Linked DNA regions of Drosophila melanogaster. The protein of the gene in region 1 interacts with the protein of each later gene in a pairwise test. Each region holds a gene or a part of one and is shown in the gene's direction. Other genes may lie near its edges.

Evidence for each region.
Region 2: the proteins of CG11349 (region 1) and CG13742 interact in a two-hybrid assay, tested with the Drosophila melanogaster proteins (one large-scale study listed by BioGRID).
Region 3: the proteins of CG11349 (region 1) and Crtp interact in a two-hybrid assay, tested with the Drosophila melanogaster proteins (one large-scale study listed by BioGRID).

Annotation. Positions count from the first base shown.
Region 1 is NT_037436.4:4,471,513-4,475,265, forward strand, and holds CG11349 (uncharacterized protein), read left to right. Parts: upstream 1-1,555; 5' UTR 1,556-1,564; coding exon 1,565-1,567; intron 1,568-1,625; coding exon 1,626-3,512; 3' UTR 3,513-3,583; downstream 3,584-3,753. Other genes in the region: CG32248 (uncharacterized protein), read left to right, coding at 253-255, 327-872.
Region 2 is NT_033778.4:9,085,628-9,089,380, reverse strand, and holds the start of CG13742 (uncharacterized protein), read left to right. Parts: upstream 1-1,748; 5' UTR 1,749-1,750; intron 1,751-1,810; 5' UTR 1,811-1,823; coding exon 1,824-2,075; intron 2,076-2,130; coding exon 2,131-2,294; intron 2,295-2,360; coding exon 2,361-2,467; intron 2,468-2,567; coding exon 2,568-2,788; intron 2,789-2,848; coding exon 2,849-3,003; intron 3,004-3,054; coding exon 3,055-3,166; intron 3,167-3,288; coding exon 3,289-3,436; intron 3,437-3,488; coding exon 3,489-3,660; intron 3,661-3,663; exon of another isoform or gene 3,664-3,716; coding exon 3,717-3,753. Other genes in the region: Dbp45A (DEAD box protein 45A), read right to left, coding at 1-90, 157-515, 573-739, 798-1,339, 1,395-1,470.
Region 3 is NT_033778.4:24,492,433-24,496,185, forward strand, and holds the start of Crtp (Caldesmon-related protein), read left to right. Parts: upstream 1-2,085; 5' UTR 2,086-2,173; coding exon 2,174-2,966; intron 2,967-3,018; coding exon 3,019-3,753. Other genes in the region: CG13589 (uncharacterized protein), read right to left, coding at 1-307, 364-423; CG13590 (uncharacterized protein), read right to left, coding at 824-1,027, 1,080-1,397, 1,457-1,516.

The DNA of each region.
Region 1 (3,753 bases):
AATGAGAGTTTTAAATCCAAACTCCATGGCGTACCTAACTGATAAAAACAAGCCCCATATGGCGTCGTGGTCGAGGTATCTGTTTGCCCAATTAAACAAATTTTTCGACGCGAAGAAAAACGTTTCGTTGATTTATGATACTCAGCACTTCCGTTTGGATCCGCAGATTCTCCGACTTGTATAAAAGTACAGGAGTCGCCGGTCTAAGATATTATTCGGTTCGTTGCTCCTAAAGCAAACAGATCATCTAAAATGGTAAGGATCTCCCATCTGTATTGCGGATTATATTAGTTGGCATATTATTCTATTTCGATTTTTCCCTGTAGAAATTCTTTATCTTGACCTTGGCCGTGGTTGGCTGTGTGGCCGCCGAATCTGGCTACAACTACAATGCTCCCCGCCAGGTAGCCGCCTCTGCCCCGGCTCCTGTTTTCCAGCAAGCTGCCTCTGCTCCGGCTCCAGTGAGGACCTACGTGCCCCCAGCTCCAGCTGCCTCTGCCCCAGTGCAGTCGTTTGCCCCTGCCCCAGCTCCAGTAGCTGCTCCTGCTCCCGTTTTCCAGCAGGCCGCCTCTGCACCCGCACCAGCCCGCACATACGTGCCTCCCGCTCCCCATGTCCACCACCATGCCGCCGCCTCAGCTCCAGCTCCCGTTCAGTCCTTTGCTCCTGCTCCAGCTCCCGCCCCCGCCCCCGTGCAGTCCTTCGCCTCTGCTCCAGCTCCTGCTTTCGAGTCCTCCGGACCGGTGTTCGAGGCCGCAGCTTCCGCCCCCTCTGCCGCCCGCTCCGGATACGATTATAGCCAGCCCGCCGCCAGCCAGCAGGGATACAAGTACAAGACCGTCCGTCGCCGTGTGTTCAAGCACCGCGCTTAAACGATGATGATGATACGATAAAATGCGACAATAAAAAACTCGAATATTAAATTTATAAAAACATAGTTTTATTTGAGCATTAAAACACTAATAAAGATAATATGATAATTTGATAATTAAACAAGAATGATATGGTGTATAGTTTTAGCAAAAGAAGCGCGCAAAAAAAAAAACTATAAAACCTAAAACAACATTTCAAAAGTGCTAAAATTCTTGCTAGAAAAGAAAAAAAAAATCGCAAAATTAAATTTTATTAATAATTGTTAGTTAGTACTGGAGTGCAGTTTTTCTTATCCATAACTAACAATCAGTTGTTAATGATAAATTAGTTTGAAGCTTCAATTGTATTACTAGGCCAAATTCACACCTGGAAACGAAGTTCAAAGAACCCATGCGTTATCGCATAAGTGTGCAGCGCACTTGGGCCAATAAATTTAAACGCTTTGATCTGACAAATTTACGGGACACTTTCGTTGTGCTTCAGAATATTCAATAGAATTTAAATTGGCGGCTATTCAATAAGAACAAATGGGTCACATAAAGCGCGGAATCGATTTCTCACGCTCGGCAACAGGTTTCGCTTTCAACTGTGGTCTTTTTTGGGGGCTCGATGTGGGGATGCAACAAAAAAGATCCCGAAGAGAGTATATAAGTTGCATCTACAGCTGCTTACAGTCACTGGCACTTTAGCAATGGTAACGGATCAACGATAGGTTCTAGGTTCCGCATTTCACCAATCCATTTTTATTTTAGAATGTCCTCGTGATCCTGGTTCTATGCCTTATGGCAATCGCATGTCTGGCGGACGTTTCCCATGTGAAACACCACAAGCACCAGCGGCATCATCACTCCAGGGATCACGAAGATGACGATGAGGAGTCCCATTACCTACCTCCCCACGAGGAAAAGGAGGTGGAGCAACCTTTTTACAAGAAGGAGAAGCACACCAGTGAAAAGGTGGTTTACCACAAGGTAGAGGAGCACGAGGAGCCCAAATACTACAAGGAGCATCAACATGAAGAGCCCAAAAAGCAGCGAGTGGATCACTACCATCACTATGACAAGAAGCCAGAAGTAAAGACCCAGCACATTCACTACAAGCATAGCAAGCCCCATGTCCGTACGGATTACAATCAGGACTTGTTCACCCCAGCTGCTACCCAAGTGGTTTATCGCCGCCGTCGTCCTAGTCGAATTCTATACGCCAGTGCCCCCAACTCGGTGTTCCACACCCACACGCAGATCAACGTGCAGTCCCAGGATTCGGAATTGAATTCCCTTACTCGCCCAGATCGTGCAGCAGGAGCACAGGATCCTGCTGGGGCTCAAGCACCGACTGGAGCCCAGGCACCAGGATTTCGACCCAACTGCCAGTTTGTTGGACCTGGAAACGTACCACCTGGCTGTGGACCCTCTGATCCCATAGGTGCTCAGCTACCAGCCAGTGCTTTGGCTCCCACTGGTGCTAATCTTCCGGCCAATCAACCTGTTGCCGGCGGACAATTGGCTGTTCTGGGTAACGGTCAGCGACCTCCACGTCCAGGTGGCTATGGAGGTGGATATGGCAACCGACTCAACTTTTTTGTTGATCCTTCGCTGGGCGCTCAGCTGGGAGCCATAGGTAATGCTGGAGCTGGAAATCAACAGGCTGCCGGAGGAGGTCAGCTTGCGGGAGGAGCTCAACTTGGAGGGAGCCAAGGATTCGACCCTTCCTTTGGTGCCCAAGCAGCTGCCGGAGGACCATTTAACACTGGTTTTGGAGCTGGTCAAAGACCTCAAAGACCTGCGCAAAACCAATATGATCCCAACCTTCAGCTAGGTGGCCCTTTTGACCCCTCCGTGGGTGCTCAATTGGGCGCAGGTCAGGGTGTTTCTAACCAAAGACCAAGTGGACAGGGAGCATTTGATCCTTCTACAGGTGCTCAATTGGGCGCAGGTGAGGGTGTTTCTAACCAAAGACCAAGTGGACAGGGAGCATTTGATCCTTCTACGGGTGCTCAATTGGGTGCAGGTCAGGGCTTTAACCAGAGACCAAGTGCACAGGGAGCATTTGATCCTTCGACAGGTGCCCAACTTGGAGCTGGACAAGGCGTGCCTAACCAGCGACCCAATGCAGCTGGACCAGGAGCTTTTGATCCCAATCAGCGACAGTCCGACCCCTCCATTGGAGCCCAATTGGCAGCGGGACAAGTACCACGCCTCAACAACCGACGACAGCGCAATCGATCCAACTACCAGGGTCTCAATGTGCTGAATGGAAACGTTTTCGGACAACCCCATCTCCAGGGACCCACAAATGCGCTGGGAAATCAACAGGACACCAACATCATAGACGGCAACTTCTACAGCGATCCTCATCATGGACACCAGCGGGCTTTGGTATCGGTTAATCCTAATCAGCGTTCAGTCCTTATACCCGATGACGATGATGCGGACGATGATGGGCAGCTAGGATTTCTGGGCTTTGCGGCTAGTAACAAGCAGTCCTCTTATGTGGTTGCTCCCAAACAACTGCGATCTCATAGGCGCAGTTCAAAGCGAAACAATGTGGATCTTAAAACATCTGCTTCGGAGTACGACACTGACTATCGTGAGGATGGCTATCACTACCAGAAGCCCAAACAGTCATTCGAGTTTTAAGTATTTTAAAACAGAACATATTATAACATAAATTAAATCATACTTATCAGCATTTGCTACAAGAGCATACCAAACAAACCTTGATTACTTATTTAAAGCATACTTTCAGGCGAAAACTATGGCGGCTACTTCCGTTTCCGCTCAAGGTAGCTTTAAAGTTTGTTGAGAAATCGACACGGGTTTTCAAGCTGAGCTTTATAAATTGAGCTTTTGATTAAGCTTTACACCAGACTACAAATAT
Region 2 (3,753 bases), on another chromosome or scaffold:
CTCGCTCGTCGAAATCGTTATTATCTAATTGCATCTCTGATTCACGGCGCGTGACATTTACTTGCATAAAGATTCTCTCCACCATGCGCTCTAATTTATATAATATATATATTAAAGATAGTTATTTTGTGTGCCACTAATTCCAACAAAACTTACGATCGATGGGATGCTCTGTAAGTTTGGTGTTGATCTCCTCCTCAATGGCGGCCAAAAGCTCTAGATCGCGTGGAAAGCGGAATATGGAGATGGACATGCCCTTGCGCCCCGCTCTTGCTGTTCTGCCTACGCGATGGATGTACTCCTTTGGTGTCCGGGGAAGCATGTGATTCATAACCAGCTCGACGCTGGGTATATCCAGACCTCTGGCGGCCACATCCGTAGCGATCAGTGTACGTATTTGGTTGGACTTGAAGCGACTTAGAGCAGCTACGCGCTCCTTTTGCCGCATGAAACCATGCAAGCAAACATTATCGATTTCCATGTTCTTCAGTGTCATCGAGAGAAGCTGACAGTACCTAAAATGATTCGTTATTAAATCCTTAGAATTTACTTCCTATTATTGTGCAACTAACTTTTTTGTGTTGGTGAAGATCATGACATTAGCGTTTTCGTTCTCCTCGCGATACTTTCTTAGTGCCTCTATTAAGACCATGTCGCGATCGTAGTCGGCGCACAGCAGATAACGCTGGTCCAGAGTCTCTACAGTGGCCACGTCTGAGTCCTGCGACCATTCAAAACACTACATTCGGATTAAGATATCTATTAGTACCATTCAACAGGGTATTCATAAAACTTACATCGCTGGCAATGGGAAATATGCTGGACTCCTTTATGAAGTCCTTCATGGTTGCGGAAAAGAAAAGGTTTTGCCTTGTCTTTGGCAAACAGCGCTCAATGATGGATAGGCTCTCGTCAAAGTCTCCGTTCAGCATGCGATCCGCTTCGTCAACAACCAAATACTTCAGATTGTCGAAGGAGAAGGTGTCGCAGCCGGTTAGGTGATCCGCGAGACGGCCGGGCATGGCCACCACGATGTGCGGTCGCTGCATAAGCTTCTGGCTCTCGACCATTTGGTCTGTGCCGCCAGAGACAACACATACGCGCACCCCCATCGCCTGTCCAGCCACAAGAAACTGCTCGGAGATTTGATAGGCCAACTCGTGCGTGGGCGTCAGCACCAGGGCGAAGTGGCTCACTGGCTCTTCGCTCAGCCGCTCCAGAATGGGCAGGGCAAAGGCGAAGGTCTTGCCCGAGCCCGTCTTGGCAGCTCCAATGCAATCCTGGCCCGCCAATATCGCTGGGATGCATTTCTGTTGGATTGGAGTTGCTCCCTTCAGGCCTGAAAGCGCAATGGTTTAATTACTTGGGTAAACCCGTGGACGGCTTGACATTACCCAACTTGGTCAGCTGCTTAACCAACCATGGACGTAGGCCCAGGATCTGAAAGGGATTGGCCTCCTTTCGTTGCATTTCGGTAAATAAAAATACAACGAAATAAAAAAGGAAAACAACGTGCGCTGTATTAGTGATGGAAGTATTGTCTTCTGTATCGGTATATAACTATCGATACGTTTTTAATTTTTGCTCCGTGTGAGTGGTTAGCTGTATTTAGTACGCATTTTTAATTTAAATTCAATTAAATTTTTTATTTACTTCAACCGCAGAATTATTGGCGAGTAATAAGAAAAAATTCACTATAAAATTAATAATACATTTTATAATTAATCGACAATAGTCACGCTCTAGACAGGTAAGATTCCGCATCTATGGGCGCGATCATTTTGTAAACACACTGAATATTTCGATTTAGACTCAATGCAAAGATGTCCGAAAACCATGATAGCCTGGGTGCATCTGTAGCCTACAGTGAGCTGGTGGCTATAGACCAGAAGGACATCATCCTGATGATAGACTTTGATTCGGCGGTTTCCATTTGCTCAGCATGTATCGCAAATAAATCCGCGAATCCTGTGGATGTCTTGACATTGTGGTTCACCAAACTATTAGGAGCATACATCGACGATTCCGGGTATTGTGTACTAGCAGCTCGGGAAATGTGCAAGTGGTTCACGATCGTAGGTAATTCTTACACAATGCGCTTCAGTCTATTAACTTTAAATTCGTCCTCAGGAAGCAGAAACTGGCAATGAAGTCCACAGCGGTCATATAAAACTCATGTCTGTGGCACAAGAATTTGTATCCACATTCAGGGATCGATTGCTGGAAGCAGGCGAACGTTTGGTTCAAATCCTTGCCTATCTTGTCTTTACAATTATCGACTTCTGTTTAATGTGGTAAGAGGGGCTTGGATAAAACCTATATGTAAAATATTTCTATATATTTTTGCTTACATCATTCAGCGATAAGAGTCATCGCCAGATTGTTGCGGATCTTCAACTCGAAACGCTTTCTTTAATAAAGGATTCTATCATTAATTTGACAGAAGTCCACCCTCGCCTTGCGACCTGTAAGTTAGGAATACTAACGAATTGATACACCCAAAAATTTGAGTATTATCTGAAAGTTGTTGTAGACTAATTATAGACTTTATATTAAACAATTGTCAGTGATGCAAAAGATAATGGAAATCGCAGATACCGAAGGAACACGCACTGGTGATCTGCAGTTATCTGTACAGACAGGCGAGACGTTGGCTCATATTTGCTTGCACTTCATGACAACCTGGCATGCTAATCCTACAGACGAAAAACTGCCCAATTGGCTTAGGGAAACTGTTTTTCATCTATGTGATGTGGTTACCGTTCACTTGAATAGTACTTTTGACATCGTTCGTATAACAAAGCTTACGATTTGTAAAAGAGTTTATTTAACAAGACATTTTTTTTAGGACAATCGTATTGTTCCTGCGGAAAAGTTAGAGGAGCTTGTAGATGGTATCAGGACCTACATTGTATTGTTATATCATATTCTTCAAAAAGGTGTGGTGTATGTTGATGATGATGTAGCTGTTTGTCTGATGGACTTAATAATGTGTGAACGAACGTAAGTTTGAAAAATGAAATGGTTATTTGCAATAATTGTATTTTCTTTTAGGAGGCCATCACATTACTCTGACATCGAGAAGCAACAGCTAATTTCTGTGTTAGTACGACCACATGTACTAGATATTTTAGAGCTGCTTTACAAGTTCCAAAAATGTCAAGAAGTAAGATGAAATTCAGAAATCGCTTGCAAATAAATGTCTTCGGATAGACTTTGATTGAAAACTATTCATTCATACAATACATCATCAGATTTTGTTAATGTTACTAAAATTTGTCCTTTTAGTATTTAATATCCAGTGTCCTTGGTACACCAAAATTTGACTACTTCGACGCTTGCATGGATTTTATTAATGCTGTGTCTACAGACGATGCGGATGTGCTCCCATCTACTTGCCGAACATTACAACAAACTTTTGAATATTTGTTTAAAGGTAAGGTGTCGATTCGATCATATTTATTTCTTACTACTTACTGAGCCCACAGATGCTAAAAATTTTGTTCACGGCGAACGCTATAATCAAGTATTGGATGCGTTTGGTTGTCTTTTGTATTTAGTGGGTAACATAGAACTACATAGGTATTTCTGTGCCGGCATATTTCAAAAGGATTTTATTACATCGCAAGTGTGTGCGGATATTCTCATGCTGTGCTTTCGGTTAGTAATTATAAATCATACATTTTAAAATTTATTTCACTATTCTATGTTTTTAGGCTAAAAGAGGCCAACAAATGCTGGACAGATCATGCC
Region 3 (3,753 bases), on another chromosome or scaffold:
AGGTGTGGTTGACCGTGGATACGTTCTTGATCATGTTCCAAACGATTTTAGCGAACGGCTGGTTGCGCCTTCGCATAAACTCACAGGCGTCGAAGGTGTAGTCGAACAAAAAGGGCTTATACCCATTGGCCTTCTTCATCATCTTCATGTGAAGGTATATGTTTTTCGCTGGTTCTATGAATGTGGCATTTATGTTCAGGCTGGTCTTGGTTCGGGAATAGGCCTTCAGGCGACAGTAGTGAACAACCACCCACGATTTGTTGTACGACTTGCACACAGCATTCGTCATTTTAGCAAGGGGTGCCTCCTGGGGGAAGCTTTCAAGTATTTATAAAATATATAATATGTTATTGGATCTCTTACACCGCAGACCAGAAAGCCAAGTATTACCGAAACAACAAAAGCGGCCCGCCTACGATTCATGGCTGTTTACCACTCCGTTGAAAACTGACGGTGTACTGGTAAATAAGCTTCATTAAATACAAATTTTAGTTGAAACCCTATTAGCAGATGTGGTAAAAACGATGTATCATGGAGCCATTCGACTGGAAAATTACGTAATGGTTATGTATGTACATCGAAGATCATTATACCAGTTGCATATATACTTCTGTTGGACGCGTGTGAACTTCTGAGTCCTAGAAAATAAATCTATACTTTCCATTTTACAGGATCTACTTCCCTTTCAAAAACCAATGTTCTCGGGAACTGAGTTGTGAAGTCAGTTAGTATCTGAGTAAAAGGGTCTCGATGCAATTTTTGTTAGTTATTCAAATTCTAGTGTCGTTACAATTTTCGTATTTTTGTGAATAGCAACCGAATATCAGTTCCGTAAGACGGGGAACTCCTTACTGCCCCTTCTGTGCTTCGAGCTCGTCGGCAGTAAGTCCTCTATAAATGTGAAATATACATTCGTGGCGAACTGCGTTTTGCCATCGAACAACCAGTCGACCATTAGTAGATAGTCCCCAGATGGCAGTGGCACAGGAATGTCGACTTTGTGAAAGTCGCTCAGCATCTGCAAGCCCTGAAAGATGGAATGGGTTATGTCCCTAAATAGCAGTTTGAGGAGACCTCACCTCATAGGGACAGGTGTGGTTGATGGTGGACACGTTCCGGATCATGTACCAGATGATCTTGGCCACTGGCTGGTTGCGCCTTCGCATGAACTCGCAGGCGTCGAAGGTGTAGTCGAACAAAAAAGGCTTATACCCATTGGCCTTTTTCATCGTCTTAAAGTGAACTGATATATTTCTGGCCGGCTCCACGAACGTGACATTTATATTCAAGCTGGTCTTGGCTCGAGAATAGGCCTTCAGGCGGCAGTAGTGAACAACCACCCACGATTTGTTATACGATTTGCACACTGCATTTGTCATTTTGAGATAGGGCGCCTCCTGATGGAATGTGTAGCTTTAATTGAAATGTAATTAGGTCCTACAATCCGATTTCTTACTCCGCAGCTTAGATAGGCCACTAATAGCGAAACGGCGAAAATGAAAACCTTGTGATCCATGGCTCTTGGTCGGTCGACCACCCGTGGATAACTGACGTAACCTGGCTCTTTAGCTTGAATATGTGTTCTATTTTTGATCAAATTGAATTGATGGTTAAGTGGAGAATGCGTTTATTACATTATCATTAAATATCGATTTAAAACGGTTAATAAATGTTTCAATAACACCAAATGCAACCAGCCAATACACTTTTAGAGGCTGGTACTGATCGAAAACTCGAAACCACTTGACACTCGAAGTAAGTTAATATTCCTCTAAATAGGTGAAATACAAATTCGTAGCAAACTGCGGCCTTAAATCGAATAGCCGGAAGTGGAACATGAACTTCAATGTTATGAACGTCGCTTACCACCTGCAAGCCCTAAAATATCGAAAAATATTCCGACAAACTGGATAAAGTGACCTTCAATTTTCACTTGAATCATCCATCTATTCTAATTTGAACTTGGCCATTATTTATTCTTTGCGCGTAACCCATGCAGAAAATAACAAAAGTACCTAGGTAAATCGATATGGAAGCACAGTAGTCCAGGTGTTGACATATATTTTGTTTATAAGCGAAGCTTTCCTGTTTTCTGAGGAGATCATACATACAACACCCTTGCCGAATCAACAACATTACGAACTGATCCTATATTCATGTTGCCATAGCCAAAATGAATGTGTGCAAGCCCAAGGAAGTGGGTCCCGATGGACTTTTTGTCCGGAAGCGCTTTACGCGGCATCCGGTGGTGATCTCGGCCAAGCGGTTTGCAGCCATAAAGGGACGTTCTCGCCAGGATGAGAAGCATGCCCAAATGGAGGCCGTCGAGGAGGAACGCAGGTATCGGCAGTACCTGAAGGACGGCAACGAGCTTCTTTGCAGCCTGTTCACAGATCCCAATGCTCCGAAGGTCAAGAAATCAGCTAGGGCGCAGAGCAAGGAAGCCATGGCAGTGGTAAAGGATGTGGACACAAAGTTGGCGGACGAGCGGCTGCGCAAGCAAAGGATCTTGCGAGCCAATCGTCTACTGGATCAACTGAAGCCCGGACCCCGCGCTCTGCACCAGGCGCTCATTTACAGCGAAATGATTCATCAGAGGAAGTACAATGAGGCCCTTAACGAGGAGATAGCGGAGGCAGCCCGTGCCCAGGAAAGGGCCGATGAGGAGATGTGTCCTGCGGCCCTGGTGCCCTTCGGCCACGCCACCGAGGAGGAGGAGGTGGCCAGGCAGACCGCGAAGAATATGGAACATGCCGAGCTCATGCGGGCGGACATCGCGCAGCGGGCAAGGATCAGGGAGGCCGAGCGGGAGCAACGGGTCTTCGAGGAGCAGGTGGATCGGGCTCAGTACAAGTGTCTGCAGGACAAGGAGGAGAAGGCGCTCAAAGAGAAGAAGGCCCGGAAAATCGCCTTCAATCGAAAGGCCTACAAGGAGGCCCTCCAAGAGAAGGCGGAGATTGCAGAACGTAAGTACTATTTAGCAGAACTGGATATATTCATATTATTCCTCATCCCCAGACGAGCGGATTTGCGACGCCATTGACGACCGGCGCAACTGTGTTTACATCGTGGCTAGTCGCAATCTGGACAGTCGCTATGGAAGCCACGTGAAGCAGCTGCGGCAGAAGCGTCAGGAGGAGAGGGAGCTACAGGCACTCCGTGTCTCCCAGGCGCAGCAAGTGCTTCAAAAGAAGCTGGAAGAGCGCCAGATTGACGCGGAGGACCGCCATGCCTTTGAGACGCAGGTGGACGACAGCCGGCGTCAGTGCGAAAGGGAGATGCTGGCCAAGGAGCGCCGTGCGTATCAGAAATTGGAGCGGAAGCAGGACGCCGAGAAGCTCCGCCGCCAGCAGGAGCTGCAGCGCTTCCATGTGGCGCGCCGCCTTAAGAACGCCGAGGCGAATCGCTTCTTCGATGCCTCTCAGAAGCGAAAGAGGGACAAGGTAAAGGAGGAGCTGCGCAACGTTCTCTTTGGCCAGCGGGAAGAGTTCCTCGAGAAGCGGCGCGCCGAGCTAATGAACCTGGCCGCCTGCAATGAGGATCCATACCTGGAGGATGACAAGAAGTTCTTTGAGCAGGCGGTCGAGATCATGGAGGAGTCGAGAAAGGTGGGGCGACCTCTCTATCCCATTGCCACCGCCGTAGATCGCTACGAGCGGCAGAACCAGCTGGACATGCGACCAGAGGGCAGGATGGTGAAGAGAAGCAGTCTAAGGGACTACTGCTGGCCAGGATTCTTTTCCAAGGCGGAAC